4 linked regions of the Drosophila melanogaster genome follow. Changing the gene in region 4 together with the main gene of any one other region gives a genetic interaction. Each region holds a gene or a part of one and is shown on either strand. Other genes may lie near its edges.

The links.
Region 1: of Klc (region 4) and pk, changing one suppresses a phenotype caused by changing the other (phenotypic suppression), as found in Drosophila melanogaster (one study listed by BioGRID).
Region 2: of Klc (region 4) and Appl, changing one enhances a phenotype caused by changing the other (phenotypic enhancement), as found in Drosophila melanogaster (one study listed by BioGRID).
Region 3: of Klc (region 4) and DCTN2-p50, changing one enhances a phenotype caused by changing the other (phenotypic enhancement), as found in Drosophila melanogaster (one study listed by BioGRID).

What each region holds. Positions count from the first base shown.
Region 1 is NT_033778.4:7,183,039-7,191,214, reverse strand, and holds the start of pk (prickle), read right to left. Parts: upstream 3,983-8,176; 5' UTR 3,602-3,982; intron 1-3,601. Other genes in the region: CG30384 (uncharacterized protein), read right to left, coding at 6,031-8,157. UniProt on the Drosophila melanogaster protein: Acts in a planar cell polarity (PCP) complex; polarization along the apical/basal axis of epithelial cells. Correct expression of the alternative isoforms is required for PCP signaling in imaginal disks.
Region 2 is NC_004354.4:529,573-537,371, reverse strand, and holds the start of Appl (beta amyloid protein precursor-like), read right to left. Parts: upstream 6,203-7,799; 5' UTR 6,183-6,202; intron 5,746-6,182; 5' UTR 5,574-5,745; coding exon 5,496-5,573; intron 1-5,495. UniProt on the Drosophila melanogaster protein: During development, plays a role in the regulation of the neddylation pathway. Appl and APP-BP1 interact antagonistically during development.
Region 3 is NT_033778.4:8,887,753-8,894,874, reverse strand, and holds DCTN2-p50 (dynactin 2, p50 subunit), read right to left. Parts: upstream 3,044-7,122; 5' UTR 2,922-3,043; coding exon 2,886-2,921; intron 2,802-2,885; coding exon 1,880-2,801; intron 1,814-1,879; coding exon 1,629-1,813; 3' UTR 1,536-1,628; downstream 1-1,535. Other genes in the region: Sec31 (secretory 31), read right to left, coding at 1-671, 734-930; CG8272 (uncharacterized protein), read left to right, coding at 3,575-3,625, 3,757-5,016, 5,080-5,838; RyR (ryanodine receptor), read right to left, coding at 7,060-7,122. UniProt on the Drosophila melanogaster protein: Modulates cytoplasmic dynein binding to an organelle, and plays a role in prometaphase chromosome alignment and spindle organization during mitosis. May play a role in synapse formation during brain development.
Region 4 is NT_037436.4:12,743,986-12,752,905, reverse strand, and holds Klc (kinesin light chain), read left to right. Parts: upstream 1-2,849; 5' UTR 2,850-2,943; intron 2,944-3,066; exon of another isoform or gene 3,067-3,196; intron 3,197-4,007; exon of another isoform or gene 4,008-4,099; intron 4,100-4,223; 5' UTR 4,224-4,248; coding exon 4,249-4,850; intron 4,851-4,964; coding exon 4,965-5,085; intron 5,086-5,151; coding exon 5,152-5,631; intron 5,632-5,702; coding exon 5,703-6,008; intron 6,009-6,075; coding exon 6,076-6,093; 3' UTR 6,094-6,290; downstream 6,291-8,920. Other genes in the region: CG10984 (uncharacterized protein), read right to left, coding at 1-1,599, 2,051-2,104, 2,167-2,299; CG32109 (uncharacterized protein), read right to left, coding at 6,428-6,609, 6,670-6,925, 6,981-7,177, 7,438-7,498; CG32112 (uncharacterized protein), read right to left, coding at 7,974-8,097, 8,160-8,869. UniProt on the Drosophila melanogaster protein: Kinesin is a microtubule-associated force-producing protein that may play a role in organelle transport. The light chain may function in coupling of cargo to the heavy chain or in the modulation of its ATPase activity.

The sequences.
Region 1 (8,176 bases), on a different chromosome or scaffold from region 4:
TTTCCAACCGCAACAAAGTCGGGGCCGCAGCACGCGATCTCGGCCAGATTTGCAGTTAGACAGCGGGTGTGATTAGAGCCCAATGAGTAGTGGGTAAGTGGGGAAAACCGGTCTCCGAATGGGAAAAGCGGCACTTGTGCATGATTCACATGCGCCACAAAGAGCTATGCCCCGATGCGATTAAAACGCGATCACACAATAATCATAAAGAAAAACTGGAGCCGGGCGGCCAGCGAATGCCCAAACAAAGACTTCCGGCGTTTGGTCCACGGCAGAAGATGGAAGGCTGTAAATCCCAGATCCAAGATGCCATATGCCAGATGGAGTGTTGCACTTTGGATGTGGATGTGGAGTTGATGCCGCGAGGCACCGTTAGTATTTATTGATGGCGGTTGTTCGACATGTGTAAGTGACGCCATCGATGCTTGTCGCGTAATTTATCCGATGCCAAATTGCCGGCGTTAATATCTGATAATGCCTGACCCATTGGCAGCGGCTGATTGAAATCGCACTAGGCCAACGGGGCGTATGCGCGTTTGCACACGCCTCAGCCTAGGCAAATGCAGAAGTTGCCATTGCTGTATTGCATTGCTCTTAACTGCGATTTTCCATACGACTCTACTTTAGTTTCAATGGCTGGCGGCTCTGTCATCAATCCCCAGTTGGAATTACACAGTTGACCAGGAGTGTCCCCCCTTGCATACGGCATAAACTCAAGTATGGTAGCTTTATGGTGCCTTTTATTGCCAGGCATTTGCCGGGGCTCAAGATTTCATGGCCGGCGGCTGGGAAACTGCGTGGAAAATGGCAGACAGGCGCAATTAATTTTATGACTATTTATGTAGATTTTTCTCGGAGTGTAATTTACAGAAATGCAGGTTAAAAAGTCAATTGCTTTGTCTTGGTTTACTTTCCCAACGCGCAGTTAAGCCGTTCACCGCAGCACTCAACCTTTTGTGTTTAGTGTTGCGCCCACTTGAGCCGCATTTGCCCGGAAAGTCTCTTTTGAACGGGTTAAAATTGTGTTATCAAGCTATCAAGAACCCCATTCAGCGCCACAGAATCTGACATATATATGGACTTATCACTGCCTACCTAAGTGGTTTAGAAAGCCGCAGACGTGACAACTCATTCAGCGCGGCTGCAACTGTAAAATTTCATAATTTATTATGCAGTCGGATGGGCCTATGCAGCTGGCACATTTTCCGATATTACCATACGAATCCCGCCAGGGAGACAATATAAACAATAAGAGATATGCACCCAATAGCGGTCTTCAGAGCTGGATTCTTTCCGGTTCTGTTTGGCAGTCAGGCGGGATGTCTCACTCGCTAATGGATTAACTTGTTTGTCTATTTTACTGCCAAACTATAATTTGAGCCTCTGAAAGCTACGGCTGGGCCAGGCCGTAATAATTACACAGTTTAGGTCCGCCAGCCAAACTAGTTTGGGCGAAAGCCCGGCGATCTAATGAGCCATTGTCTGGGCCTCATATTTCATTGGGTCGGATAATAATCTCACGCCTGGCTTATCGGTGGAGCGGGGTGCTAAACGTCTTTGTCGCCATCGAAATTGATTGCTCTAAGCAGAAATGGAATTCCTTTTCAAGTTTTTATTGCGCTCACATAAAACCCGATCGCATCTCGAAAATCGTTCGATGTCGTGGAAAACAAAGTGAAATGAAAATCGAGTCGGCACGCCGCCAAAATGGACACCTTGTGGGCGGTAGGCAGTTGGCCGGTCTAATCTGCAGCGCACTCGTGTTAAATGTCAAATCCAATCAAATGGCGTTGAGTGAGAGGAAACGAGCGGGCCGGGCCAGCTAACGTTGCTCCATTTTCCGGGGAACCCGTTCTTATCTGCCTGGAAGATGGTTGGGAAACTAACGCGAGCTGACAGGATGACAGTTCAAATTGGCGTTTGCATACGTCCATCGACGGATCCAATACTTATTTACGACTTCCCGCCTCAAAAGCTCATAACGGGGCCTAATTAATTTACAGACCGAAATTCGCTCGCCAATGATGAATAGCTGGGAAATGGTTCGTTAATTGCGTCTTTAAATGGACGTGAGACATGTGTAATATGCAAATGGTGGGGCACAGACACAGAGATTGACATAACGAAGTTAGGTTGTTGACCCACTCGGACCTTTTGTTATGCTAACAAAACCAAGTCGATAACTGTAAAGTGGCCAATCTATTCCGAGGCGGGAATCTTTAGCTGCTTTGTATCTCAGATAGCCCGACAGCCAGATAGCCAGAGCATCTTGCCTTCATGCTCCGGCAATTGTGGCTAGATGGCTGCGTGCGGAGTAAACTAACCAACAAATTAACACGCCAGTTAGTTAGTTAGTTAGTCAGTTCGAGGCGTCGATTGGGGTTAAGCAGCCGTGGCAGTTGGCCCATAGTGAGGGAGAAAGTTGATGCAGCAGCTCCATAATTGAGCCAACTAGTTGCCGCAACTCGGCCATAAACAACAGTTTTATTTCGAACCGCCGCCGGCCGACGCTACATAATTATGAAGAATTTCTCAATAAAGCCCGGAATCGAAGCCAGCCGCAGTGCGAAAATTGATTTAGTTGGCCGGGCCATAAAAGACCAGAGCGAATTGCAGTGTTCCGTTGGTGCTTTATGGCCACCGTGCCTGGGCTATGTACATACACCGCGGAGGAATGCGCCGCAGAACCACTATCGGTGCGCTTTAAATTCAAATTGGCATGTCAGGCAATTAGAAATCGGAGATAAATTTCAACCCCGGCCCACACACACGTTCAGCTCGAGTCAAATGTCTCTTGTCAATGAGGTGTTCGAAGCCCACACAGACACACACACACACACACGGGACTGAAAAGCAATTGCTAACAAGCCATTGTTGACACATTGCCGCCATGTAAGCCCGTTTCATTACACTTCTGTGGGTGGCAGCTGCTTTGGATCACCAGATCCGTAGATCCTCAGCTTTATCTGCACTATGGCCCACCAAAAACTAATTGGATCAAGCGGCGGAGAAAGCCAAGAGCTGTGCGCGGTAATCAAAATATTTCGGGCTTTGGCAAGTGTTTTTATGGCTAGACGAGTCATGTTTTATGTGCTGGAGCGGGTCGTAAGCCTATTTGGTTATGACTTCATTCCGCGAGGCTGCAGCAAGTTGGTGAAAGTGCGCTGCGAATGGCGATTAAAACTTAACGCATCTAAATAAATCAAGCTGAGCACTTCAGTTGACGTGTAATGTGCATAAGCTTATGAAAGCCATTACACCGACGGGCCGGGCATATCCAAAGTTCGTTGCTCAAGTCTTTCGTTTCCTAAGTATCAGCCACACACCTTGGCTAACAGATTCTCGACCTTCGATAATCCCATAAAAATATTGCGCTAAAGCAGCCGGCCCGACGTCTGTGCCTCGCATATCAATCGGCCTCGAATTTCATTTGATTTTTAATGTAATTTTATTGTCAGTTGTATCTGTATCTGAATACGAATACGAAAGCGTTTGTATCAGTGAAGGAGTTTGAGTTTGAGTATCAGCTGGTATCCGTGTTGTACGAAACGAGCTGCGTTGACAATCATCAGGCGAAAACATGGCTTAAATCACATCTCACTTGCCCGTGTGGCTTATCCCGAGCATTTAGCGTAAATGAGCGCTTAGGCCAATTGTTGCATTAATTCACTTGGCCCCAGGAAGGAACACTATGCCAGACTTATTTAGCTGGCCCTGATAGGGACCACTCTGGATTATGGATTGCACTTCACTTTTGTCAATTTTTTGCAATTGTTGCGAATTCAGTTAGCAGCTTTTTGTGCACTTTGCTCCGATCTGGCTGAAAAACGGTAAACGACAGATCTGGCGCAAGATAACGTGGACCGAAATCGACATAGCCGAAGAGCGCGCGATCGATCGATCGTTCAGACGGATTACGCGACGACTAACCCGCACCTGTTGCCAGATGTAAACCGCTCGCAACTGACGACGCTTTCAGACTGATCGAACCTGCCCAGATGTGGATTTCTGTGTGGTTTGATCTTAGGCTGTGGATCGTGTTCGATGAAGGTAAGGTGTTCGTGGGACTTCTTGCTTTAGTGTTCTTTCAACGAGCTGCCAAAATACTATCACTATTAAGTGTAGTTAACGATAACAAGATAGTTTATAGTAATTTGTTTCCGATTTCGTCGTTAAAATTGTCTAAATTTGTATAAAACGCCAAATATCATAAGCTGCAACTCAATCCGCAACTGCAACATCGAACTTGTTTGATAGCTCCATTGCTTACACTACCATCCCAAAAGTATGCTTCGTTACTACGCATTTTTAGAATCATATACATGTAGATTTGCGCGTAAGATTCTCTGTAGAATCTGAGTTCCTAATATTTCATCGTTTAAGTCTAATGTAGAAATATAAGTTTCTTGTTTCTTTTTGCAAACAATATAGGGTTCTAAAATTCTAGATGCTGAAGTATCTGAAGAACTTTCCAGGACTCTATGGGACAATAATAGGGCTTTTACATAGAATGCCTCGTGTTCATAAATAGTGAATTGCGTAATCTACCTTCCCATGGATGTAAGAATTTAGTAGTTATATATCCAGCCGTATTCTGATGGCAGCGCTGTTCAAATCTTAAATAATTAACTTTAAGTAATAAACACCTTGTAAATTAATGGTGTTTAAAGAGCAATAAACTTAAAATAATTAAGTAAGAAAAAACTGCATGTAGTAATGAAGTGCATCAGAAGAGCTGATTACCACACATACACGAAAGAATACGTACTAAAATGATTTTCATACTTTAACAGTTAAAACACTAGAAGGGTACCCAAAAGAGTTTTTAATATGGTAACCGTGAAATACGATTTGGCCAAACCCTTTTGAGTAATTAAGAGTGGTTTTTATAAATTAGATGTGACCAAAAATATAACATAAGCTACATTTAAAGCCGGTACTTAGTGATGAAATATCTCTTGTCAGAAAGCAAAAATATTTCCCAACCACATTGCAAAGTGGGCTTGAAGTGACAAAAAGTGCGATGTCAACCGTGTTGGCCATCTGACGAGTTCAAGGTTGATTTCCAGCTGACCATGTTAGTTGGTCACCATCATTGCCTGCCGACTGGAGATCATTAGGCCGCACATTAGTGCCATCTCAGCGCAGGCTAATTAGAAGCTGAGTGTGAACGGAAACACTACGTTTCTGCGTGCCGCTTTTTGTTGCACAACCTGGGATGCCTCAATGATGCATGATTTATGGCATTTTGAATTGTGGATCGGCGGCGTGTGAAGCTCCCGAGGGGCCGGGCATCAAAGACCTGTCCAGCAATACGTATACTTATGTAGGTTTCTGCGCTTGGCTTACCTGAAACGAAAATGTAAATCGAAGGCAATTAGCTGAGTCTAATAAGGGCCAAAATAAGATTGAGTATAAGAATGGGGATTATAGTTGGATAGCGTTGACGCTATCAAAAAATCAATTTGGCTAATTGCAAGCATAACGGCCTCATTCGTTGCCACATTTCATCAAACACCATTTGGGAAGGAAACGTCAAAAGAGCAGCCCCAAGGTGCAGACAACTTTTAGACACGCCAAGTCTGGGAGGGAATGGCTGGAGTTTAGGGGGCTGGACGTGGTTCGTTTATTAGCGGAATCGAATGGGCCCCAAAGTGTCATCAAATCAATGCAAGCTAGCTCAAATCGAAGTCGGCTTCCAAACTTTTCCGGCCCACATTTGCGCGCCATTAAGCATTATGGGGGTTGCGGGGTGTGGGCCCGCATTCCTCTCGTGAAATGGGCAATTTTGTTGGCCCATAAAGGGCTATCGTAATGGGAAAAGTTGGCGCCACATCGGGGGCACAGGTGTGTCCCCAGGCAGGGAAATAGTTCCCACCCCGGGCGGGCTAATAGATTTCCAAATCAATAGACCATCCCTGGGGAGTTTTTCTTTATTTCAATGCGAGAGTTTTAGCAACTTCTCGGTCATATTAAATTTGGACGTTAACATTGCAAACAAGCCGCAAAAAGCTGTTTTGTAGGGCTACTTTAAGCGTTTTTGGTGCTCTCGATAACAGAAACCACGTTCTCGGCCATGTCACACAGGTGCGAGTAGGTCTGCATGTAGAGGCTATCCCTGTAAGATTTCCGCGATCGCAGTTTTTTCAAGAGATACTGATATGGGTTTTTCCTACGCAGCTGCTGGATCCACGGCTTTTCCTCCGATTCTTTGCCATTATAATCGGTCCCGTCGGATGGCGGCTCCCCTTCTTCCTCTCTTAGCTGAAAGTGACTTATCTCCAATCTGAGGCCACTCAGTTCCATCGACGCCATCATCTCCTCCCATTCCTGGATTCCATTGCCTATACAACCCCTCACGTAGATGAACCTGGATCGAATCCTCTCGTCATTCCGACTGAAATGCGTAAGAGAATCTCTGCCTCTACCCAGCTTTAGTTCCTCCTGAACTTTGACCAGTTTTCCGTAATAGAACTTCCGTTTATTAGAGTCCGGAAGCCGCAGGATTACCTCACGAACCGTCTGCAGGCGCAGATCCCAAGCGGGCTCCCTCGGTTTCTTTAGAGCTTTGTATAGTGACTTCAATTTTTCCAGATCATCAAACCGTTCGCACTTGTAGCCGGGATTTTCTACATTGAACACCTCCCTCTCATCCAAAACTCTTTCATAAGGACATATCACTTCGGGCGGATGCAAAAGGGGCACTACGGACGCCTGGTACTTGTTCAGGTCATTGGACATTTTCTTCTTCGCCTTGTCCGTAAGCAGTTGTTGGTGCCGCCGCAGCTTGTTTGTGTACTCCGGCGCGGGAGTACAGTGCCCCGTAAGCCGGGCCAAGAAAATACCGCGCACAGAACCGATTACGTTGGGAAAAATGCGGAGCTCATATCGCTGCTTCAGCAGGTAGCATCCACGTGGCCTGAAAAGCGCTCGGCATACGTGCACCTCTCCTGGGAAAACAGTGAAGTTGGCCTGGGACATAAGGAAGTTATGGCATTGGGCAGTGCTTTTGGGGGCACGCTTTGATTCGACAGAGCACCACTGGCAGGTGAGCACATGACCACCGACGTTCTCCACGCTAGCCACATCCTTGACCACGTTCTGGAACGGATGACATTCGAAGAAAACGTTTGCGATCTCCGGCAAAAAGATGCGCTTTCCTGAGTTTACGAACAGCATACCGTTAATCTTAACGGCTGCACGGGAAACCACAGATTCCGTTCCCTTTCCCTGGTCAGGTTCTGCCCTGGAAGGGCTCTCCTCTTTTTGCTCCTCGTCGGGAAGTATCTGAGACGTGCTGCTCACGCTGAAAATTGAGTCGCAAGACACCCGCTCGACACGACTGATTTCGCCGTCGGTAAACTCCTGCTGCACGGGACCACCCACCACCTCCAATCTGTCCAGATTCGGAAAGAACGAGATGACGCGCATGATGTCGCTGCTTTTGTTCTCAATATGATTCTCCAGCATTCGCGACTTCTCCCACGGAGTGGGCATCTCGGGCCGTTGGTACGCCCTGCCCAGGATCTCCTGCTTGGTGGCACGGGTTAGCCCGGTGATCTCCACGTCCGCCCGACCGGCCTGCTCGGCGCACGGAAGCGTCTCTTGCAGTTCTGGTAGAACTTGGCATTTGCTGGGAAGAACAGCAGGTTTCTTCTGGATCAAAGTAGTGGGATTCATGCGACCGGCAAGGTCGAGAAGCCGCACCACTGTACCTCGATCCCTGGGAGCTACTGTGCTGCCCACGTTGATCAGCATTTCGTCGGGTCGGCGGCCGAGCTTCCGCTGGATCTTCGCCTGCACAGCCGCACGGTTTTCAAGTGTGTCGTACCACAGCTTCAGGCGAGGGTCCATGCTCAAGGACTCTCGGATGTCCTCCTGTAGCGAACACTCCGATTCTGATAGTGTGGTGGTACCGTGCTTTTTGTCGAAGATGCCGTGGACAATCTCATCCACTAGCTGCTTGCCATCCCGATCGGAAACATCCTTAAGCGTGTTGTGCTTGCGGAATTCAAGCTGTGTGGATTCAGACTTTAATTCAACCTCGTTCTTCTGGGAATCGGGTTCCTTCCAGGACTCCGTAATCTTGAGGAAGGACTGCAACCACGAGCGGTGCCGAGAGCCCGGCAATAGCCCAGATTCGTTTCTCTTATTCATTTTTATTTTTATTTTTTTG
Region 2 (7,799 bases), on a different chromosome or scaffold from region 4:
ATTTCAGTATTTCTGTATTTTTATGTCGACGGCAGGCAAGTCGAGAAATGAAAAGCATCAAAAGAGAAAAAATGCGAGCAGTGGGTCAGAAGAACCCGGTGAAAAATCATATGAAAAGCCAGCACAAATATGTGACCCGCCTTGCACCTGATGTGGGTTTAGAATTAATTGGGTCATAACTATAAGCTATATGTATAAGCGGGTTGGGAGCTTTATCGACGCATGCTAAATTTATCCAAGACAAGACCTGGCCTTTTTGGCATTCGATGCGGTGGCCGCAATTGATGGGAACGCATCGGAACAATTCTGACTGAAAAGCACTCTAAATCCGCAGGGTGGGCGACACCGTAGAGGCTATTCGTACACTCCCTCCGGCAAAATGCAATCGCCAGCTCAAGGAGGCCACCCGGTGCTTATTGCTAATCACACCATCTTGTTGGTTTCCAGGAACCTGCCTAATGCTCAAGCTTGGCCCGAAAGGAGCTTTGCCCAAGGCACTCAAGTGGAACGAGTCAAGTCAAGTCAACACAACCCGAGTCGGGCTTTATTCCCTTCGTATGGTAGCGAATCAGAATTGCAGACCTAACCCAATTCCGATCAAGAAGCGAAAGCCGGAGGGGCCTGGGGGTTCGGGGAGCTAGCTACTCGATTTGGAAAGTGCCATTTGTGCTATTCAAATGAAATCAGCAGCGAACTATTGAGCAGGTGGCGGGCGACACCTTCCATCCACCCACCCACTAACCATCGTCGCACTGGGTAGAACCAGCTAGAACCAGCACAATAGCAGTAGAACAAGCAGACAAGAAACGAAAAGAAAAGAAAGGAAAGGAAAGGTAAGAAAAAGACGTTCGGGCTCCGTCAACGAACACTTTGCGCCCGCCACATTGGAGCTGCCACACCCCCTCTGCCCCTGAAGTCCACACTTGCGAAGTTTTTCCCCCTCGTAAATGTTTGCAGTACAAATGTATAAAACATTACCGCACGGCTGTGCCAAAGACGTGCTCCGCAAATGGCGAAGAAATGGGGCAAAGGACCTCCTCCGATTCTCACTGGCTACGTTTTCCTGATGGTTTTCACTTCTTTTTTTCTGGGACATCAGCTTATGAAAGGCTGAACTATAGTTTTGGTTTTGTTTGCAGTGTAAATAAGAAAGCCAAAAAGGACTTAACGCCTAGGTCTGTGATGTATTTTAGAGCTGAGATCCCATATATCAAAATGAACTATTTTTGGTTGGTTTTTTAGTGAAGAAGGGGTAAATGAAGAAAGCTGTGGCAGCCTAAGAAAAGGAATAAATTTTGTTGAATTTCCACTCAATGCCTCTTTTTTCGACATATGTACATACATATATGCAGGTGAGTAAAATATGTAATACACATTTTCATTTTGTTATTTGGTTTTTATATGACGTACAAAAATTTGAACTCTGTCTAGCTAATTAAACCACCCTTTTCCTTCTTTCTTCGATACTTTTATTCCGGTTTGCCCCCATTTCTATTCATTTGGGTTTCTTTCATTTTCGTTTCGTTGATGCTGTCATTCGTTCTGGATCATTTGCGCTATTGTGAGTCATCGTCATCATCATCTTCATCAGCATTATCAGCGAAGGGTTATCGTATTATTTTCATTTCACCTTATCAGCAGGGCTGGAAAGTCGTCACCTTGCTGGATAGTGGATAATAGTTGTTGACCCACGTTTACCCACGTTAAACTAGCATAAAATGACACCGCCCAACTCACAACCCATTTTTGTTTGCCACTCGAAGGTGAACTGCGATTTTAAGAGCCCTAGAGGCAGACACAGAACAGCACAGCTGGGCAGTAGCACTTAACCCTAATTCCTGCAACTCTGACACAGACAATGAACACATTAGCCAAAGTCCTGGCTGCCTAGTTGCTTAGCTGCCTAGCCACCAAGCTGCTTGACCAGTGCCTTTGTCAATGGTGAAATGAAAATGAGCAAAATGCATAATCGAAAAAAACCATTGAAGCGTAAATGCTTTGTAACAGGATTCAGGAATGGGCGAGTGCTCGAAGGGAGAGGACTCTTACGGCCAGGACAAAACGAACACAAACACGACTACGTAAACCTAAACCTTCGATCCGAGCCAAAATAAAAGCCGATCCAAGCCACGCCAAGGCAACCAAACGGAACGAAACGAAACAAAACCAAGCGAGTGGCGAAGGACGACAAAAAGAAGGAGGGCTCTGGTGGGGAATATCAGGGATGTTGGGGTCACTGCACAGTTACAACCACTCATCTACGTATCAACCCGCCGCACCATCCCCTGCAGCAAAGCATACATGTGTGTGACATCGATACCACAACTAATGAACGATGAACAGGACGTGGACAACTCTTAAACTGACAAATGACAATGGAATCGGGTCGCACTGGGCACAGAGCACTGGGCAACCTGGCTGGCAGTACGGATCGAACAAGTCAGTGGATGAGAGATGCGGCTGCTCAAATGACTTACTATGGCTGACCAGCTACAAACCCAATTGCATCCTAAACTTAACCCAATCACGAACTGCGGTCTCTGCAGCTGAACCCAATGTGGCGAACCCCGAAGGCAGATACTCTTGCTCCACTCCCATGGAATGAGTGTGGTATCTGGGGAAATAGGCAGTATCCACTTTGGCCAGCTTATCGATAAGGTTCTACCTGCACATGTTGCACCGTCTAGTTGGCGAGCCATTTGCTTTCAAAACGATGAACTCAAATACTTGATGCTTCACTTTTGGTTGGGATGCACAAGCATTTAAAAAGAGTACTAGATGGATGCATTTTCGAAGCGAAACCCGGAATTTCTGAAAAGTTTTGCGGCTGTGGGAAATTCCGTTGCGGCGACTGCATTGCATTCCCGAATGAATCATTCCACTCCCAGTGGGTGACTCATGTGGGGGGCGGGAAGAGCTGAACTGCGCCGCTGCCTTCTATCAGTCAGCAAGCAGCGAACTGACTAATTCAGTTGACTCCAGTGAAATTGGGGGGAGTTGTGCCAAAGAAGCATGGTGTGCAACTAAAGTTGGCCGTCGGTTCGCAGTTTCTACCCGACAATCAAATGGCCAACGACTCCCAGCCACCCTTCTCCACCCTCCTGTCATCCCCTTTGAAAGCCCCAGGCCTCTGTAAAAAGGGACTTTGAATGGGCTGTTTGGCAGCAACGATTGCGTGTTCCGTTTGCCAGGTTTGAGGGAGACACATCGTTGGCATCGAGTGTTTGGGGAGATTCTCGGGTATATTGCACATTGCAGTCCGCAAATCCCTCCCTGCTTTCTGGATGATTCAGACATGTCCTTATAAAAAAAGAGTGAAAAAGGGCAGAAAGAATACAAGCAGAAAGGAGATAGCTACAAAACGGGTGAGCAACTGGGGAGGGCAGGGTACAAAAAAACAGAAATTCTTTTAAAAAAAGTCCCTAGTTGGTAATGCATTACTACAACATTGGAGGAAACCACTACTTTGGAAATCCCGCTTAAAACACACAGAACTTTGCCGACAGTTTTTTTTTTACTGAAAATGTGGGTTATATTGCAACCAACTGCTAGCATTTTTCACAAAGAAAAATGATCCAATATTAAAGTTACACGAAGCAAAAGGTATTAAAACGCTTTAGCAGTAGTTGTCCCAAGCAGGGTGGGAATGGTGGGTGCAAGCGACATAAGTAATCAACGACCACCACAAAAATGACGTCGGCGATGCGTGCCCCTGATAACAACGAAGCTGAAGGGTGGACCTGTGGGTGAGTGGCTGACCAGGTCCAGGCTAGTCCTGCCATGAATTGCACGCAGCGACGGTCTAGCATGAATAGCCGAATTAAGGGTAAGATGGGTGGAGAGTGAATGAACGAATGGAGAGCAAAGCAAATTGCAGGCTGCATACAAAGCAAGACATGAAAGGAGTGCAATGCGCTATAAAGCAGCTTAACTGCTCCCCTGTCCGGGATTGGGCCGAACTCCTGGCTCCTGGGTCCTTGGAGGTGCTGCCCCTCGGTTCTTCTCTTTCAATTGGTCTGTCTCCACATGAATATGGATTTTATTAGGTTTTTGTTCCGCCACAGAAGACTGTTCGCTCTGCGTTGCCAAGGGAAAATTGCTCCGAGGTATTTAAGAGACAAGAAAGTAAAGCAAAATTGTTAAGGTCAGGCACGTCGGCGATTGTGGATCGGCCCCAAAGAACGAGAGCTGCCGCCTGGCAAAAATTGTTTGCAAATGATTTAAAAACACTTTAGCTAAAGCTAACAATATCCTAGTAACGCATGTCTTCCCTTTTGGTTTGTCGGTAGGTGTGTGCGTGCACGTATGCCAGTCGATGAATTGACCTGAACAAGAGGATTCGTGGTGAATGCAGGTCCAGCCCCAGACCAATTTGGGGATTATGCTCAGACAGAGCCGGATAGTTTTTAGCCGGACTTAAACCCCAACCGAAGGACGCATAACCCGGCCCCGCACTCCATTTCTACGATATTTGCCAGTCGCTGCGTGTAGAAAATCAAAATCAAAATGTCTGCACGCCCTGTTTGGTTTCGGTAACACCTCCGCTACTTTTATATGCAAATTGCTAGTCGAAGCCAGCTGCTGCTATCCTCTAGCCTCAAGTTTTCGGTTTTCGGCTTTCAGTTGGCCAGTAGCCAGCGACAAGCAAACGGTTCAATTAAGCCAATACTTGCGCACACTCGCAAGTAATTTGGCAGCCCTATCACCCATCCCCATCCCATCCCCATCCCATACCCATCCCCAATCTCCAATCCCCAATCCCCAATCCCCAATCCCCAACCCTTTCCCGCCTTCAAGCCCTCGAGCCTTTAGTGCCGCTGCTAAGCGATGGCACATTTTTCGTAGCATACTTTGCGCGGCTGCTTAGCCGACGGCCACCACATCCCACAGAAACCCGCTCAAGTGCTTGTGTGCTTGTGTATCTGGCTCTCTGTGTGTGTGCGAGAGTGTGGGTGCCTGTGTGTGTGGGTTGCGGTTGCGATTGGTATTGCTGTTGCACGCAGAAAGTATAGAGCCACACTGCTATTTTGTGAGCCGTACTCAAGTTATACATAAGTTGGGTGTTGTGTCAGTAAGCCAGATGAGGCAGTAGCGCAACAACACAAGTCCCTAATTGCTGGAGACCTACTTGTCTTCCCCGGACACCGAATTAATATTGTTTTGACTTCTATCAGCTTCAATGCGTGGCTAACATCGAGCGTCGAGTTGTCTGTTTAAATCAATTTGTCATCCCGATTAAAGCCCTAACGAAACAATGTTTTAGTGTGCAGTTTTGCCCAGTTTCCCAGTGTTCTCTGTCAGTTTCATTTTCGGTTTGTGTTTCTGTTCTGAGTTTCGGCTCTTTCGACTTACTCCTTCGTTCCATCGAGTATTGTATCGAAAGTGGAGTGAAATGGTCTGGTGTGCTGTGGTGTGTTGTGGTGTGCTGTAGTGTGGTGTGTTGTTATGTCGTGTGGTGTGGTGTAGTGTGGTGTGGTGGGGATTCGGTGACTCACCTGAACCTGAGCAGTGCCAATGGCCAGGACGACCCAGAGGCTCCTCAGCAACAAATTACGACGCAGCGCGGCGCACATTGTTCGCACTCTTTTCTGCTTCTTTGCTCCTCGTCTGGTTGGCTCCTGGTCCTATCTCCTGGCTGGGAATCTCCGAGTTTGGTCTGAACTTAGCTGCTTCTGCGGCTGGACTGACGTGCTTCCAGTTCTGGTTAATTGTATTTGCTTTGTTGGCTATTCGTTTAACACTTTGCTGCACAGGCGGACGACGGTAGCAGCAGCAAGAAATCGAAAACACAAAAAAATTTCATTAGCAAGCGATTCGGAATTGTGGCCTTTCGTTTCAGCCTTTAACTTTCTGGGTTCTGGGTTATGATTTCTGTTTTCTGATTTCTGCGCTCTAAGGTTCGTACTCCGATTTCGTTCGATTTGCGGTGCCCAAGTTAGCTGCCCACAGCGCAGCGCTTTTCCTTTCGCCGATGCCCAGAAACCTATGCACGGAAAATGTCAACTCGGAAAACTCTGTGCGTGTGGCTTGTATGTGAGTGGCCGTAGTATTCGATTGTGGAACGTAGTAGGAGAGAGTCCGTGATGGGCGGGGGCGGATAAGGGAATTGAAGGAAAAGGAAGAAAAGAAAAATAAGGCAAAGCTACGAGAGTACTCGCTGCTATCTGTCCTGTCATACCCACTCGCTGGTTCTCGGGGTCCTGAGATTGTACTTCCCCGAAACGGAAAATATGAGTGGCACTATGGCCGCCGTTCTGCGCCTGGAAAAGTTGTCAGCTGCAGTCGTCGGGTTCCACGTCCCATGTCACTTGTCCATGTCTCCTGTCTCCTGTCTTGGCAGTTCCCACGCAAATCCACCCACTCGCTAACCCCTTCCCGCACTCTTGGAACGTATCCGTCGGGCTTCTGCGCACTTTCCCAACCCCTTTCTCACTGATTCTGCGCAGGTGCGCTGCTTATTGTCCCCCAGCTAAGTTGGCATCACAAATCCACTATTGGCATCGGCTTCGCTTTTTCTTTCCGAACTTGTATCACTTTGTTTTGGATGTTTCTCTATGGTTTTTGTTGTTGGGTTTCTTTTTTAGCACTATTTAGCACTTGAACAGCAAAAAAAAGTATTGAGCTTGTTTTGGTTAAATTTGACGGTCTCTCAATGTGTGTCTCTGGTTTTGTGCTTGTGGCTCCTCGGCCACCACCTCTCCGCCCGAGCGGGAGAACGACAAGAGCCACTGGCCAGCAGCCCCTGGCCTTCCCAAGCTGTCGGGGAGTGGTCAGATGGGGTGGCCCGAAGAAGCCCCTAAAGCGCTGAGTTTTTGGAGCCCTGGCTGTACGCTATACCTGGCGCTGCGAACGCTCACAAACGACTGCGAGTGGTCTCGTTGCCTGCAATCCTGCGAGTCCACGTCCGAAAGTGCGAACTGCGAAAGTCGAACTCGGGCGCAGAATGCAGAGCGCGTGCCCGGGATCGATATTAAGGGCGAATCGAGCAACTGGCCTTCCGCTTTCCGCGGGGGTGACAATGTTTTTGGCTGTCCGGGCTGCACTATGGTACCAGTGCTTCCAGTGGTAGTGGTATTAGCGGAACAAGCAGGACAGAAGTGACTAGGGAGAACTGGTTCCGCGGGCGAACCAAGAGTGTCTGGCGGAGTGCTTGTTAGTTAGTTTACATGCACACCGCTAGGTGGAAACTCCCAAGGGAATTTCGCACAGGTCACCGTCTTCAAAAGGCTGTCCTATGCACGAGTTTTTATAAACCACTAAACTTAATTCAAATTTGTTTTCCTCGATGGATTCAAGAGTTTATATACTTTTTCTAATGGTGAAGCCAATCTGCACTAGATGGCGTCGATATGTAAGATGTAAGATGTAAGATGTAAGATGTAAGATATGACCAAATCCAAGTTTCCCACCACCAACCACCCAATTTCCTATCCACATCACTTATTGCTTGGCCCTTAGCCAAGTTGCAAACCACTTTCGACATTATTTAACATGTTCATTTTTTCCTTCCCAGCGACTGGCAACTCTGTGCCGCACAGCTGATCTTCTTACCGGCTACAAATTAGATTTCTTACATTTGTTTATTTACGCCGCCTCCTACTTGCTAGGCCTCAGGAAAGCATAAACCTAGGAACGGAGCCTGGTACAGACACGGAGCTATACACCTACAACAACGCACATTTCACCTAGTTGCGCAACGCACTTAGCCGGCTGGCGTGGCAGTGCACGGTAAGCTGAAACGTACGTGGCAATGAATATGAAATCGAGCTTGCAGGAACATTGAACCAACGAGCGTGTAG
Region 3 (7,122 bases), on a different chromosome or scaffold from region 4:
CCTCTGGAATCTTGGTATTGGGGTTCCAGCAATAGATGCGGTTGTCTTTGCCACACGAAACCATTAGATCGTTGTCCTGCAGGCACCACGACATTCCCAGCACTCCGCGCTCATGAATCTGGTATGTTTTGGCTGGAGCCGTGGCATATCGCAGATCCCACAGCTGCACCACTGGCGCCTGGTCGTCCTCGGAAGCCAGCCACACCTGCGTCGCCGCCTCCGGATGCCACTCAATAGCGTGCCACCTCACTCGCGACTGCGAGTCGGAGAGCTTGATGATCTGCTGACTCTTACGCAGATCCCAAATCACGCAGCGTGTGCTGAACACGGAGGCTAGAATGTGCTGCACCTGCCTGTTCCATGCTACGTTCTTTACGTCCTCCAGTGGTTGTGTCTTGGTGCCGGGACTCATGCTTGTTTCCGGGTTGTTGAGGTCCCAGATTAGGATTTCCGATTCGGAGGCGCATGAGGCCAGCAGGTTGTTCTGGAAGGGATTGAAGTCCAACCCGCTAACGGCGCCTGTGTGCTTGTCCTGGCGCTTCAGAAGCGGCTCCTCCTTGCCTGCAAGCAGCTTGTCGGCTGAGTATATGTTGATCTGCCCCGCCTCGCAGCCGCCCACAATCAGGCCACTGGGGTGTGGTCCCACTGGGGACCAGATGAGTTTTTGGAACCTGCGGGAGGAAAAGCCGGTTATGTGAACGACTTGATGCACAAATTGAAAGCCATAACTCACTTGTACTGGCTGGAAACGCTGGCCCTCAGCTCCAGATCGTATGTGGCATCGCTGAAGTTCGGTGAGTACAACTCCAGAGTGGAATTGGCATTGGAATCGAATTGTTGGGCGGCGGTGCCGGCGGCCAAGAGAATCTGCTGCTGCTGCGCCGGCGACCAGGCGATGTTCACCGTCTTTTGCAGTTCCTTGATCTTCATCTTGCAATGTCCCTTCGTGCTGCTCGTGTAAATAAAGCGAAAAAACACAAATATTATGGGAGGTACAAGTTCAGAACGAAATTGTGTCACGTCCAATTGGAGTAAGCCCCGTCATCACTTTTCCCATTGGCTTCCCCATTGCAGATGTGGCCCAGTAGTGCCCGCCGGCCTTTAAGTATCTTTAATTATGCTAATTGCGCAACTTACACACAATTGTGAATGCAATTTGTACTCGCTTGCGCTGCAACGAGACTTTTTGATCTTGAATTTAACTGGAATCGTTAATATTTTTAAGAACCGTAGGAACGGCCAGTGTGACCGTGCTCTGAGCCAACGTAATATACCACAGGGCACGCACTGAAATACCAAATGCGTGCGACCAGAATATACTGCGAGTTTAACGGTATGCAATTTAAATATTCCGTTTCAATGTGCAATTTTAAAAATAGTTTTTATCAGTATACATTATTAAAAATGATAGTCGAAATTATTTAAAGATTTATTTTCCATCGCATTTTATATTCGTAAACTAGCTTCAGCACTTTTAATATTAATATTTATTATGAACTCATTTTAAATTCCAGATCACTTTGCATTTATTTTTTGACTGGAACTGGACTCGAATGTAGATCTCTTTATTATAGGTATCTTTCATAAATATAAGCTATGTTTATTTAATACGCATGGTATGCATCCACTCATTTGGCAGACGATATGGCCGCCACACGCTGCTCCACCTTGGCCACCTTGCTGTTGATAGTCTCCAGATTCTGGGCGAAAGTCTCCTGTACGGAATGCAGCAGCTCCTTGTTGTTCACCAAGCTAGTGGTGATGGTTCCCTGCTTCTGCTCAATCTCTGCGATGATCTTGGCGAAATTGTTTGCTGCAGAGCAAGTTGATTAGTTACAGAAACAAGCACAATGCTAAAATGCTAAATAGAATTGCTTACCATATTTATGGAGGGCCTCGAGGGCTTGCATGCGTTCGATGACGTGCGGCAGTATTTCCACCACTGGCTCCGTGCGCTTCGCGATGTCGTATAGTTCCGTAATCTTCTGATCTCGTTTGGCGTCCTGGGCACTGCCGCTGGACTTTTCGGCGATAGCATCCATCTTGCCGGCCAGCGAGGTCAGGCGCTGCTCGATGGTGTCCAGTTTATCAGGCTGTATCAGGGCCGCCTTGGTGCTTAGATGACGCACTGCCTCTAGTACATTGGTGGTGTTGGTGGCGGCGGTAAGGCGGCTCAACTTGTCCGGCTGAGCGCCCAGCACCTTCTCCAGCTGCGAGATTCGCTGCTCTAGACTGGCTACGCGGGCCGTGGCCGCCAGATCGGTGCCAGGCGTGGGTATGGCTGTGAGAACGCCGGACTGCTTGAACTCCTCCACCTGGCTAATGAGTGCTTTCACCTGCTTACTTCCAGGCGTCTGCTCCTTGCCCAGCACTTGCTCCAGCTTCAGCGACTCCAGCACCTTTCGGGCCGTGCTGATAACCGTGGCCACCGCATCGTACGACTGCTTCTCCTCGTCGGCTACCTTGCGGTCCACCTGCAAGGCGGCCACCTCGTTCAGAAGCTCGTTCATCTCGATCTGCAGGCGCTGGCACTTCTGCACCGGCGTCTCCTTCTCGCCCTGGCCAACCAGCTCGTAGTCGCTGGAGCCGCGCGTATCGTAACCCCGGCACATGCGTCGTCCAATGCGATCCGTGAAGTCCACACTCCCCTCGACCGTTGCTCCGCTGAAGCGCTTGTGAGCGACGCTCGGCGAGATGTGCAGTCGCTCGATGGCTTCGTTCTCCGGCTCCTCTTCGTAGTAGTCGGATGTATCGAGCTCCGGGTCATCTGGAGTTTCGTACACGTCCGGCTGGTCATAAGCCTAAAAACATAAAGTACATATATGTATAAATGGGCAAAAACGAAAGCTTAAACGTCACTGCCATGGTGCGGAGTTCCGACTTACTATTCCCGGTAGGTTCTGGAACTTGGGATCGGCCATTATTGTGGGCACGTCGACGGCGGTGTTTGGAATCCTTTGGCAACGAAATAATTATAAACCTTCAAAAATCCTTTTTTACAACAATCAATTCGATCTGATGTCATAAAAAAAGTTACCGTGCGCGGTTACCAAACAAATGCCAAAGTGCAGTTGTCATTGGAGTATTTATAAACAGAGGTATCTAAAAAGTCATTTAAAAAAGACAGTTATTACTTGTAACGGCTAATAAGCTAAGAGTAAATAGTATTGCAAAATATATCATCGATATAAATAAATTGTACTTGCACATTGTACTTTGTTAACTGGATTCATAGATGCAAACATTTATAAAAATAAATTAAAGCTTTTTGTGCTAATTTAAACCTATTTTGATTTTAGGAAAAACGATATACATTTAAAATCATTCATAAGCAATAGGTAAATAATTCCATGATCGACTTCCAATTGGTAAATCAATGAAGGTACACTTTTCTTCTGGTATTTTATAGACCAGTGAGGATAGAAAAAAGGCACGGTCCTACTGTACCTAGCACAGGTACTAAGTTAGTCAACACTGTAGTTTTCGTGTAGTTTGCGGGCGAAGCGAGTGGGCGGTGGGAGCTGCTAGTTGGTTGTACTAATCTTAATATTTTGCATCCGAAAACAATAGAGTAATGTCTGGCTTAGAGTACGGGTTGCATAGATACGATGATCTGCCGCTGGAGGTGAGCATATAATGTGAACGGACTGCCGCGGTCCCGTGACCAATCCATCATTTCGAGCGTATCTATATCTGCATATTCATATACCTGTTAGGGCAGTCAGCTGATTTTGTTTTTTTCTGTTCCGCCCCCAGATTGTTTTGAAGATTTTCAGCTATCTCGGCTACTCGGACTTACAAGCGGCAGGATCCACCTGCCAGCGATGGCATGCGGCGCTGGATCAGGCGGAATTTAACCAGCGCACGCGAGTCTGCTTCTCCAAGGTGGTGCTATCGGATCAATTGAGTCCTGGAGTGGATCTGATGCGCTGCGAGCGGCGTTTCCAGCACTTCCTGTTCGAGGACGTGACACTGGGACAAGTAAAGGAATTGATGCGCTTCATGGGCAGGACCGCTCAGTCCCTGGCTCTGGACAATGTGGATTTGAATGACAAACAGTTCTACGGCATGCTGGGCGTGCTGCCCCATCTCCACTCGCTGTCGCTGAAGCGCTGTCTGCCGCTGTTCATGTCCGGCTCTTTCCTGGACTCTTACAACAACTCCTGTCCTGACCTAAACGACCTGGCAAGCAATCTGGCCGGCATCAAGGAGCTGACGCTGTGCGAGAACCAATACCTCACGGATGCCATTCTTATGCGTCTCACATCGTTCATGCCCAGTCTGGAAGCGATTAACATGTCCGGCTGTCACATAGCCTTTCACAATGCTATTCATCGCAGATTTTACCCTGCCACCAGCTCCTCGGATCACGTTTTGCCCAGCGAGTCTGTGCTCACGTTCAAGTTCATCCTCACCATTCTGAACCTGCAGCGACGTACGTTGCGCGTGTTGAACTTTAGCCACACCCTAATTGGCCAGGCTTTGTTGGCCCTTTGCGACCTCAATCTCCAACTGCAGCGCCTCTATTTGGCCGGATGCAGACAGCTTAACTGCACCACAATCCTGAACTTTCTAGCCACACAGCCCCAGTTGTGTGCCCTCGATTTGTCGGCCACAATGTGTGTTAACGATGAAAATCTGGCCGCCTTGGTACAAACTAATCCGCAGCTGGAGCACTTGAAGGTGAACGGCTGCCTGAGCATTACAAATGCTGGTGCCATCCACTTGGCCAAGCTAAAGTGTCTCAAAAGTCTGGACATCTCAAACTGCGATAACTTGACAAGCAGCGGCATCATAGAAGGCATCGCTAGCGAGGAGAATCCGGTAATACAGGAGCTGAACGTTTCATACCTTCAGATCTGCGAGGAATGCATCAAGGCAATTGCCAGTAACCTACGATGTCTGCGATCACTGCACTTGAATCACTGCGTCAATGGAGCCACCGATGAGGCTATCCAGTCGGTCATCGGCCAGCTGCGATGGCTGCGCGAGCTCTCTTTAGAGCACTGCAGTGGGGTAAGACTGAAAGTCGCGATAAATATAAGTTCTGCCTTGTAATTTGGTTTTATTTAAATATAGTTAACCGATGCAGCCCTCACAGGTATAAACATATCCAAGCTGGAAATGAGTCGTAAGCAGTCGGGTTCGCAGGTGTCGTCGATGGACAACTTCTACCCGCCGTACTCGAACACGCTGGCGGAACGAGACAGCCTGGCGGGTTCCCTGCAGTCCATTAAGATATCGCTCAGGAGCAAGGCCGAGGATGAGATTGTTCGGGATGCCCGGCGAAAGCAAGCCATGCTGGCCGCCTACGAAATGAACCTGATACGAGAGGATGATTTCGAGGGTCACAACATTCAGCAGTTGCGGGGATTGCGATCGCTAAACTTGCGTGGCTGCAATAAGATCAGTGATGTATCCCTGAAATATGGGCTGAAGCACATCGAGCTGAGGCGGCTAATGCTCTCGAATTGCCAGCAGATTTCCCTGCTGGGCATGGAGGCGATGGCCAGCAGTTGCCCATCGATTGAGGAGCTCGACCTATCTGACTGCTACAACATTACGGACAAGACCATCCAGGTGGTAACGTCTAAGTTGCCCCGCCTGAAGGCTCTGCACATCAGCGGTTGCAGCCAGCTGACGGAGCACACGCTGGACGCCATTATCACCAACTGCAGCTGCCTGCAAACGCTGTCAATCTATCGATGTCGGAGTATGTACACAGACTTGGAGGAGCGACTATCCGGCGTGAAGACGTTGCGCAACCTGAACATGGACAATCTGACGAGCATCGACAACGCCGAGTTTTTCCGCCTGAAAAAGCGACTCGATTACTGATACTTTGCCGCCATCTTCATTGTCTTGATGTTGTACTACTTTCAGCTGTACAACTTCCGCTAGTCAATCGCCCCAGCCGTCGGAACAACCCCCCACATATATTTATTTTTATCTATCGGCCCCCAGCAGCTGGGCTATAGTTGTGAAAGCTTTAGTCAAATATACATACATATACATATATATGCAGACATATATGTATTTGCATATATGTGCACTTAAATTTACACTAACCGCGCACGTTAGATTAGCAAAATTACAAGTCTCGATTGTAATGCAATTAAATTTTCGTACGTAACGTTTGTCCGCATTCAACTGTGATTTTTTGTAAGGTACGAATCGTATGATAAGTGTACACGATTGTAAATTATGTGATCGGTTGCCAAAATTAAAGTTGTTTGTTTGATTGTTGAGTATTTAACTTGATTTGATTCGTTAGTAGTTATTAAATAGTTGAAAATTTGTTAATTCAGTTTAGGAGAAAAACCCAAAAATGAAGTTTTTGAAAACACATTGTGGTTATAATTACAACAAGTCACTGTCACTTCTTATAAGCTTTATACGATTAAATCGTTAACTGAACTCAACTGACTTAAGTGGTTAATGTATTTGTAAATAAAGATCAAAAATTAAAATAATTACTGAGTAACTTAATGAGTGTCTAGTAAATCGTACAGTTAGTTAAATTTATATTTGAAGAACAATATGCGAGGTATAAACTAAATACATGTTAATCAAATGACTGTTTTTACATTATGGAAAGGTATTCCGAAAATTTACAAGCTTTTGCTCTATTCTTGTAAATAATTCGACTAACCAGCCTTGATATTTGAGATGACAAGTCTTAATGTTCGAAAGTAATTAAATATTTACCCAAAACAAAATTTGTTCTTCTTGACGATCTAAACGGGAATAAATAAAATATCGAAGACCAAAGGGGTTCGTTCAAAATGAATAGATTTATTTCAAAATGAGTTAAGAACATTTGTTGTTATACGTGCTAGAATCGTCATCAATATTTCAGTTTGGAAACAGGTCGTACTCCTCTACGTACATAAAAACGATTGTGTAGGATATTGCTTAAAATACATTGCTAAAGTTGACTAGGTAAAAATTCCAGATGTTGTCAAACTACCGATACAAAATTGGATCCCGAGAGTCCTTGGACCGTCTAGTGCCAGTGTGATTGTGCCCAGAAATCAGACGCGGCGAATCCGCAGTCATTTAGCCGCCGCCGCCTCCGCCGGAAAGCTCATCCTCGTATTGCTTGCGGAAGCAGTCTCCCAC
Region 4 (8,920 bases):
TGTCATCAACATCTTGCAGCCAGCTGAGGAGCAAACGTCCATTAAAGCGGCAACGAGCACTCTTTTCCTTTTCATCCTGCTCCGGTGTGATCATGTTGTAGACCTCGTCGTCCTTCAAATACGTGCAAACGGAATAGGGCGCCGGCTGTCCAGATATGCTCCTGGCCGCCTTCGAGTGAACGCGTATTATCTCCTGCTCAACGTTCATGCATAGTTTCTCCCGCTCCACGGTGTGCGCTTCGATCAGATCTCGCCTGGCCTTCTCCTGATCCTGATAGATCCTCTCCATGGCCTGCGGAACAGTGCGTGGAATATCCGGAACTGAGATCGTCGCATTGCGTCTTAATAAGTAGGATTTCTTTGTCAGCAGATACTCGTTGTAACCTTGCGGAGGTCTTGGCTTCACCGGATACAAGCTCTTCCACTTCTTTTCGATCTGACGACGGATGCTCAAGAACATCTGGAAGCCATTGGTGAAGGGATGGTCATGGGGGTGAGATTCTTCGGAGTTGACACCGGAATCCGCCGCATTTGAGTTCTTCGAACTGTCGTCGGTGTTTTTCGGTCGAATCTTTCGCTTCCGTGGATGGAGTTCCACGTTCGAGGGATTTATGTCCTTGGACGAGGATGTCGACGACGTCGACGGGCTTGGAACATTGGTGATTGCCTCCTGGTCAAACTGGTGGCCCTGCGGGATCGGACTAGATGTCATGTTGCTATAGGAGAGCTTCACATCTGCAGGATCGTTGGCATGATTCGATGACGCTGGCGATGGAGAGCTGCTCTGCATTTGCGGGGAGGAGTTATTGGAACTGCGCTCCACACTGGTCACTCCAGTGCGATGAGAGCTTCGCAGGACCCTCAGGTTCTTTTCGTCATTGAAGAGCTTTATATTCTTGTCATCGAGGGCTGTGGAGCAAATGCTATTGCTCTTCTGTGGACTTTCGTGCGGGCTAATAGATTGATTGGTTATGACGGTGTCAATGGAATCGCTATTGGAGCTGACCACATACGGCAGGGCGGCATTGCGAGAGGCAGTCACCTTGCCAGTTCGAAGCACATTGCCCTCAGTGTCGATTGAGCAGTTCTGCTGCGGAATCACAATTTTTAATGGCGGCACTTTGAGTCCTCCGTTGTATAGGCTGTCGTTACTCTTGTAATCATCGCTGCACTCCGTTTCGTTCTCAATATCTACATTCTTACTAGTCTCCGCCGGCTCCTTTTCGGCATTGGAAGCGCTGCTTTTGTTTCCTGACGGGGATCCCTTCGTTGCAGCTAGCTTGGAGCTTTTCTCCACGCGCGATGTGAGCTTCAGGGAGGCCCCCTTCACGTCCTTTCCATGCTCCGAATCCTTGCGCTTCTTTTTCTTTACGTCCTCGCCAGATTCCTCGTAGTCCTCCTCTATGTCTGAGTAGCAGCGCTTGGCAGCCGAAGTTCCCTGATGATTCGTATCGCTGGATTTACCATCGTTGCTGCTCTCCTCCGCTGAAGATTTGTCTTTCGTGTCCAGGACCTCTTGCTTCTCATTCAGGCTGCCCTCGTCAGTCTCTGCGTCTCCTTTCTTGCATTCATTCTTCTTTAAGGTGGTGCGGGATGAATCTGCAAGAACGAGAATCTTATACATTACATTTGACGGCTGTGTGATTTAGTTTGGAAGATCATGTAGGAAGTAAAATGAAAGCTTATTGTCTATCGGATATCTTTTCGGGTGGAATTTGTAGTTATGTTTGAAGGAAAACCAACTAAAATGATTTTGTGTGAAAACTAAGAACTTAAGCATCGTTAAATGAGTTGTTTTTAATTTTGGTTTCTAAAGTATTAGCTCGGATAAGAGACAGGGTTTTTTTGACATCTTTACACATATTTCTTCAATAATAATTGGTATCTTCATTTGAATCAGTTAAATGACAATTTATCCGCAATCGAAACCAGTTTCTCGGATACTTTTACATTATTCCTGACTCTCAGATACATTTATGTATGTACATACGTAGATATGTACATGCATAGATGTATATGCGTGTAAGTATGTACGCAGCGAAGTACCCACGATGTAAATTGAAATTCAAGCCGACGAGCAAAAGTTCTAAGCTTTGTGACTGAACTATAAAATCCACTTGAATCATGTGAAAAGTAGACATTCACTTAATTATTTTGCTTATTTACCTGTCGACGAGTTGGCTGTCATTTGGATGAGCAGAGCCATTTGCTGCCTCTCCGACATTGGCGTGTTTGAGTTCGATCTGGGTTGGGTAGCTCCTGTATTAAATCCTATCCCCTTCGGTCTTGGGGGTGGCATACTCTTTTGTTCAGTTTTAGACGGTAAAAATTAAAATATAGAACAAAAACGGAGACTTGAAAAAGTCTTGCAAAATTTATTACAAAAAGAATAGTGCGACCGTATCGTGAATACAAAAATATGCCAGCTTGCTAATATAATAACGATGTTTTCAAATCCATTAAGTTAACAACAAATTAATTTATATATTATGTGTACAAATTTCAAGATACACCTTTAATTAGTTCCAAAAATTAAATTTTTTATTGAACTAAATCAATACCTGCTCCACCAAGGTATGTGCGTTTGTTGACCTCCAACATGTTATAGATGCTTACAAATAGCATGTTGCGCATTATTACTTTTAACTACTACTTTATTTATACTACATCTTAGCTATTATACGAAGTCTTATTGTTAGTCTACCCGATTTTTTCAGGAATTTTCATTTCTTTAGTTAGTGTTTCGATTCCACTGCGTTCTCCTCCCGACAGTGTGACCACTACTGCACAGTTGAAGAAAATCCTAGCTTGTCAAACACAATTCAACGCCCCGGCTACGGTCACACTCAGTTTTATTTTAGAAGTTTTGCAGTGTAAGATATTTTTATAGCAAATCTACGCACTATTTCGCTTATTTGAGGAGTTTGCAGAGCAAAACCGCTGGTAATAAGTTACAATATTTGAATGCACTGCGCGATAACTTGCATAATCATTTCCAACTGGATTTCGAACGACAAAATCCATTCACCCACACACAAACACATCTACTTGAGCTTATCTGTGTATGTACATATGTTGCACATAAATATAAGTGACTGCCACTTGAAGAAAAGTTTTTTACTGGAAAATATGATTCGTTTTACATAAATAATCAAGTCTAGTTGGAAAAGTGCTCGGCGGCAGCTCGTGTGGCAAAGTAAACACAAATGGAGGCCTAAGGCCTAAGTAATCGTTTAGCATGATAAATACTAAATACAATCTCTTAATGCCACTAACTTTTATGTTTAAGTGTTCATAGATATTATGTACAAAAAGTGACTCACTTTTTAATACACTGGAATTAGTGAGCTGGGGTGTTGTAACCCCATTTGCAATATTTATAATCTGACTATTCCAATCACAATATTTGGCGATCTTGATTAAGAATAAAGCTATTTTCTCGAAAATCAACTTACAATCTCATTTTACGCAATCTAGATTTCCGATTCGAAAGGCAAATGACTAAAGAAAACTATAATTTTGAATATGTTAGGGTACTAATAGCTTCGGTCTCTAAAAAACTATACAATTTATTTTAGTTGATGTAAGCAGCTACTTTTGCCATTCGTTTTTTGTTTATTGCATGACGCCAAGTGTAATTAACTTTCGCCCATAATTATAACCATAATAAACGAACTAAATGGCCTTAAACACTTTTTAACGAAGTGTCATGTTTATGTAAATCACACCGGCAATGTTGATAAATAATAAATAAAAGAAAGTTTTCAAAGCACAGTATTCGATATAAATCGAATATGCTTCCACCATTAGTTTCCAATTAGAAAACATAATTGAATGAACTGGAATTTGTTTGGCTTAAAAGTAAATTGAAGTTAACTTAATCCAGAAAGTTGATCCCTTACTTTTAATAGTTTCTGTAGTTTCTAAAAGTTATTGTTACAGCGAATGTAATAGCGCGGGCATTTTCGATTATCAACCACCTTTTTTAACGTGCATGCGCACTGCGAATTTTCTTTTTCATCGTATTGATTAACGCAGCTAGAATCGTTTAATATACGGTTAAAATGATTGTCTCCAAAGCTATCAAATCATACAGGATGTAAAACACATCAAATACCTCGATTAACACCTTTTAATTTTGATATCATTCATGTTGTTACACTTTCAGATGTCAGAGGGTTGTAGGAGCACTTACTAATCTGTATTTTGTATGTGTTTTGTAGACAGAAAATTGAGAAAATCGGCAAAATGACGCAAATGTCGCAGGACGAAATCATAACCAATACGAAAACAGTCCTTCAAGGCCTCGAAGCCTTGCGAGTGGAGCATGTTTCGATTATGAACGGAATCGCCGAGGTGCAGAAGGACAATGAAAAGTCGGACATGCTGCGAAAGAACATCGAGAACATCGAACTGGGCCTCAGCGAGGCCCAGGTGATGATGGCCCTGACATCCCATCTGCAGAACATCGAGGCCGAGAAGCACAAGCTTAAGACACAGGTGCGCCGCCTCCACCAGGAGAACGCCTGGCTTCGCGACGAGCTGGCCAACACTCAGCAAAAGTTCCAGGCATCCGAGCAGCTGGTGGCCCAACTAGAGGAGGAGAAGAAGCACCTGGAGTTCATGGCGTCCGTGAAGAAGTACGACGAGAATCAGGAGCAGGACGACGCTTGCGACAAGTCCCGCACCGATCCCGTGGTCGAGCTATTCCCGGACGAGGAAAACGAGGACAGACACAACATGTCGCCCACTCCGCCCAGCCAGTTCGCCAACCAGACTTCCGGCTACGAGATTCCAGCGCGTCTCCGTACTCTGCACAACCTGGTCATTCAGTATGCATCGCAGGGAAGGTAAGTCATCATCCATGCATTTTATTTTACTCGTGAGCACTAAAGAAACCCCTTACCTACAACATCGTTATCTATCAATTCATCATTAACTATAATAGCCTAATATATTTCTAGATACGAGGTAGCCGTTCCCCTCTGCAAGCAAGCATTGGAAGATCTCGAAAGGACAAGTGGTCACGACCATCCCGATGTAGCAACCATGCTGAACATTTTGGCTCTCGTGTACCGCGATCAGGTGCGTCTACGCTTTGATTAACTTAATTTATACAATCGTTAATTAACAACATCTCGTGCCATACAGAACAAGTATAAGGAGGCCGCCAATTTACTCAACGACGCTCTGTCGATTCGAGGAAAGACACTGGGCGAGAACCATCCAGCCGTGGCGGCCACGTTGAACAACTTGGCCGTCCTCTATGGCAAACGTGGCAAGTACAAAGATGCCGAGCCACTGTGCAAGCGTGCCTTGGAGATCCGAGAGAAAGTCCTGGGAAAGGATCATCCCGATGTTGCCAAGCAACTTAACAATCTCGCCCTGCTCTGCCAGAATCAGGGCAAATACGACGAGGTTGAGAAGTACTACCAGCGAGCTCTCGACATCTACGAATCAAAGTTGGGTCCCGATGATCCCAACGTGGCCAAGACAAAGAATAATCTGGCCGGCTGCTATCTGAAGCAAGGTAGATACACCGAAGCTGAAATCCTCTATAAGCAGGTCTTGACGCGAGCCCACGAACGTGAGTTTGGAGCCATCGACAGCAAAAACAAGCCCATTTGGCAGGTAATGTTGTGTTGTTGTGCTGTTATGCCTGGTAAATACTCAAAAGTTCCTTTTCTTACTACAATTTTCAGGTGGCTGAGGAGCGTGAGGAGCACAAATTCGATAACAGGGAGAACACTCCATATGGCGAGTACGGCGGTTGGCATAAGGCCGCTAAAGTGGATTCGCCCACGGTCACAACCACTCTAAAAAATCTGGGAGCACTTTACCGACGTCAAGGCATGTTTGAAGCGGCCGAAACCCTGGAAGACTGTGCAATGCGGAGTAAAAAAGAAGCCTACGATCTAGCTAAACAAACGAAGCTCTCACAATTGCTAACGTCAAACGAAAAGCGACGATCGAAGGCAATTAAAGAGGATTTGGATTTCTCTGAGGAGGTGAGTTTCAAAATCGAATCACTTAACTTAATTAACTTAAATTAATCATTCCCATTTATTCTTGCAGAAGAATGCGAAACCATAAAAATATTATTTGTTCATCGCCCACAACGGAATCTTTAAGTTTATGATTGAAAGCTAACAGCAAACACACACTTTATTTATTCATTCCTTAATATACATAAGCTCTCAAGCATACATTAGCAAATAAACAACGTTTTATACCTTGTTATTTCAAAAAATATGTACCGCTTTTAATAATAAACCAAATATATTTAACATAATCCTGTTTGTATTTAAACCTTCAAAACTAAACCAAAAATACGGACCAGATATAGCACATTACAGTGGAATCAGCTTAACATTTATTATTGATAACAAACAGTACGATTAGTTTGCCTACGATAACTGAGTATCAGTTAGTCGCTATCATTGTCATTTAAAATCGAGGAAACTATGCCTGCAAACTGCTCAGCCCGATCCAGAAATTGTTCCCGAGTGAGACTCGTATCGTTACGTAGATTTTGCGCCGTGAGGAGTAAGTTTTCAAAGTCCTTCAGCTGACTATCCAGCTCGTCGGCACTGATTTCCTCCTTGTGATCTGCAAATCAATAGGACGAAATGGATTATTGGTTTCTCAACTCAAATCCTGGGCACTAACCAGAACCAAACTTGACATTGGACCAAACTACGTTTTTCAAACCCTCCACAACTTCCTCGTAGTCCTTTTCAGCTTCATCTGGGTCACTCTCAACATTGCTTCTCAATGTTATGATGTCAAAAAGGAAATTCGTTTTCTCCTTAATTTCTCCAAAGGACAATCCACCTTCTTCTGAAGTGGAAGAGGTTAGCAGAAAGCCCAGCTGAATCTGTTCATTCTTCGCTAACGTCTTGGGAATAGTGTCGATAAAGGAGGTCTGCAAGTAATTGTAATATAATAGATATACTATTATTGCTTTTATAAACACTTACGTCTTGTGAATCAAAGTAAATAATCAACGCCTCGGTTGCTTGAAGAATTTTCTCCGGCACAGCTTCCAGTTTTCCAGAAAATGGAATTAAGTTGATAGAAGTGTTATAGTACTTGGTTTTAATGATGCACTTATAACAATTAAGTGAGCACTCCGTTGATGTTGATTCCTTCGATTGATTCACTTCAGATAAAATATCTGCAACAAAATGGAACGTATAAACGTAGTAGTAAACGTATTTATGAATGGGTTTTTTTTTTAACAATCCTTTATACTCTTATAAAAATGCATTGTATGATTAGTATGCTGTATTCATACCAACAGAATAAAAACATTTAATTCGCCTGTATTACTCATAAATTTCAAATAAACAAAGCTGCAACAACGTGAAAATACTGGGACAACAAAAATAGGGCCTTTGAAGAACACTCTGTACTTTTTCAAGTAACTAATCTTACTTTCGACTATTTCCAGTGCAGGAACTGCTCCATAAGATAAAACAAGTACTACTGGATCCATTATATTGCAATTTCTTTATTTATTTCAGTCAACAAAAACAAAAGCTATGCACCAGTGTGACCAAGCTTCGAGAACGAAAAGTTCTGAACTCCAAATGAATAAAGCTTTGCTTTTACCGGCACTTTTTTAAAATGTTTTTTTTTTTTTAATAATTTACATATATATTAAAAAGGAGGGAACGCTTTATTTCAGTTTCCCGGCTATAGGATACCCCTTACTCAGCTGGTACGAAAGAAGAAAAGACTATTTTTTTAGATAGCTCACTAGCTCACTGGCGTTTATATTTATTGTCGATTGTGGTCGTTTTGGTGGGCGTGGTAATATAAATTAGAAAATATATGGGGAACCAGTTTCCATTCCAAATCAAGAAAACTGTACTCCTTCCCAAGTAAAATACCTAATTATGTACAATTTACTAGACTTTTCTTTAAATGGCAACATATTCATCATTATGTTTTGATATGCTAACTTATATTTACTGAATATTTTTGTCATATCTCTTTATCAACTGCTCATAGGTTATATCACATTTCAGGCCCTCGCCCACGTCATTCTCATAGATTTTCTTTGCCCGCTCGAAAGCCTCAATAATGCAGGATCTGAAAAGAAAAGTGATCTATTATAATTTTATTTAAATTTATAAAGAAAACTTTATGCCCACCTAAATAGCTTCTGATGCAGAACGTAGGCGCTCACATGGCCGGCATCCAAGTAACGTACTTCTGCTCCTGGCCATATTTCCTCCAGACTGGAACACCCCTCCCGCGGCACATAGGCATCATCTTTGGCACATACCGCAATTATCAGGGAGGTGTCGAAGGGAACCGAAAAGTTCTTCAGGTGGGTGCACTCGTCCATCATGCCGCGCATGAACTGCAACGCCTCACGTTCCCACCAGTTCGTCTTGGTTATGTCTATTTTATCGGTTTTGCTCTGCGCAGACAGGGGCAGAATGAATTTCATGAGGTTGGTCAACGTTGAGCCTGAATCCTTCGATGTTTCCTCCGTTTCGATGGCCACCTTTTGGCTAAGCGCGTCCTTGGCATCAATGGTCAGATTCTCGGAGTCAAGTTTGGTGTTCTTCAAGGACTTGGATAGGAATATGGAACTGTCTTCTTGGGGGCAAATGCCCTGCGTCTCGTACTTATCCCCACATGTGTTACTGTTTTCGGTTGCGTGGATCTTTCTCGTATCGCTGATATCCTCCTTCAGCTCTTGCAGGGATTGATTAAAGTTCTGTATGAAGCTTTGGCCCGCGGAAAACGCATCATCGATCACAGTAACCATTTTGGATAGCCGTTCTCTGTACTGTCCATCCGAGAAATACTGCGTTTCCAACATATCCCAGTTGATGGACTGGCTCATGACACCCTGTAACACATGGAATAATGCAATTTCAATTTGATATTCCATGCTATAGCA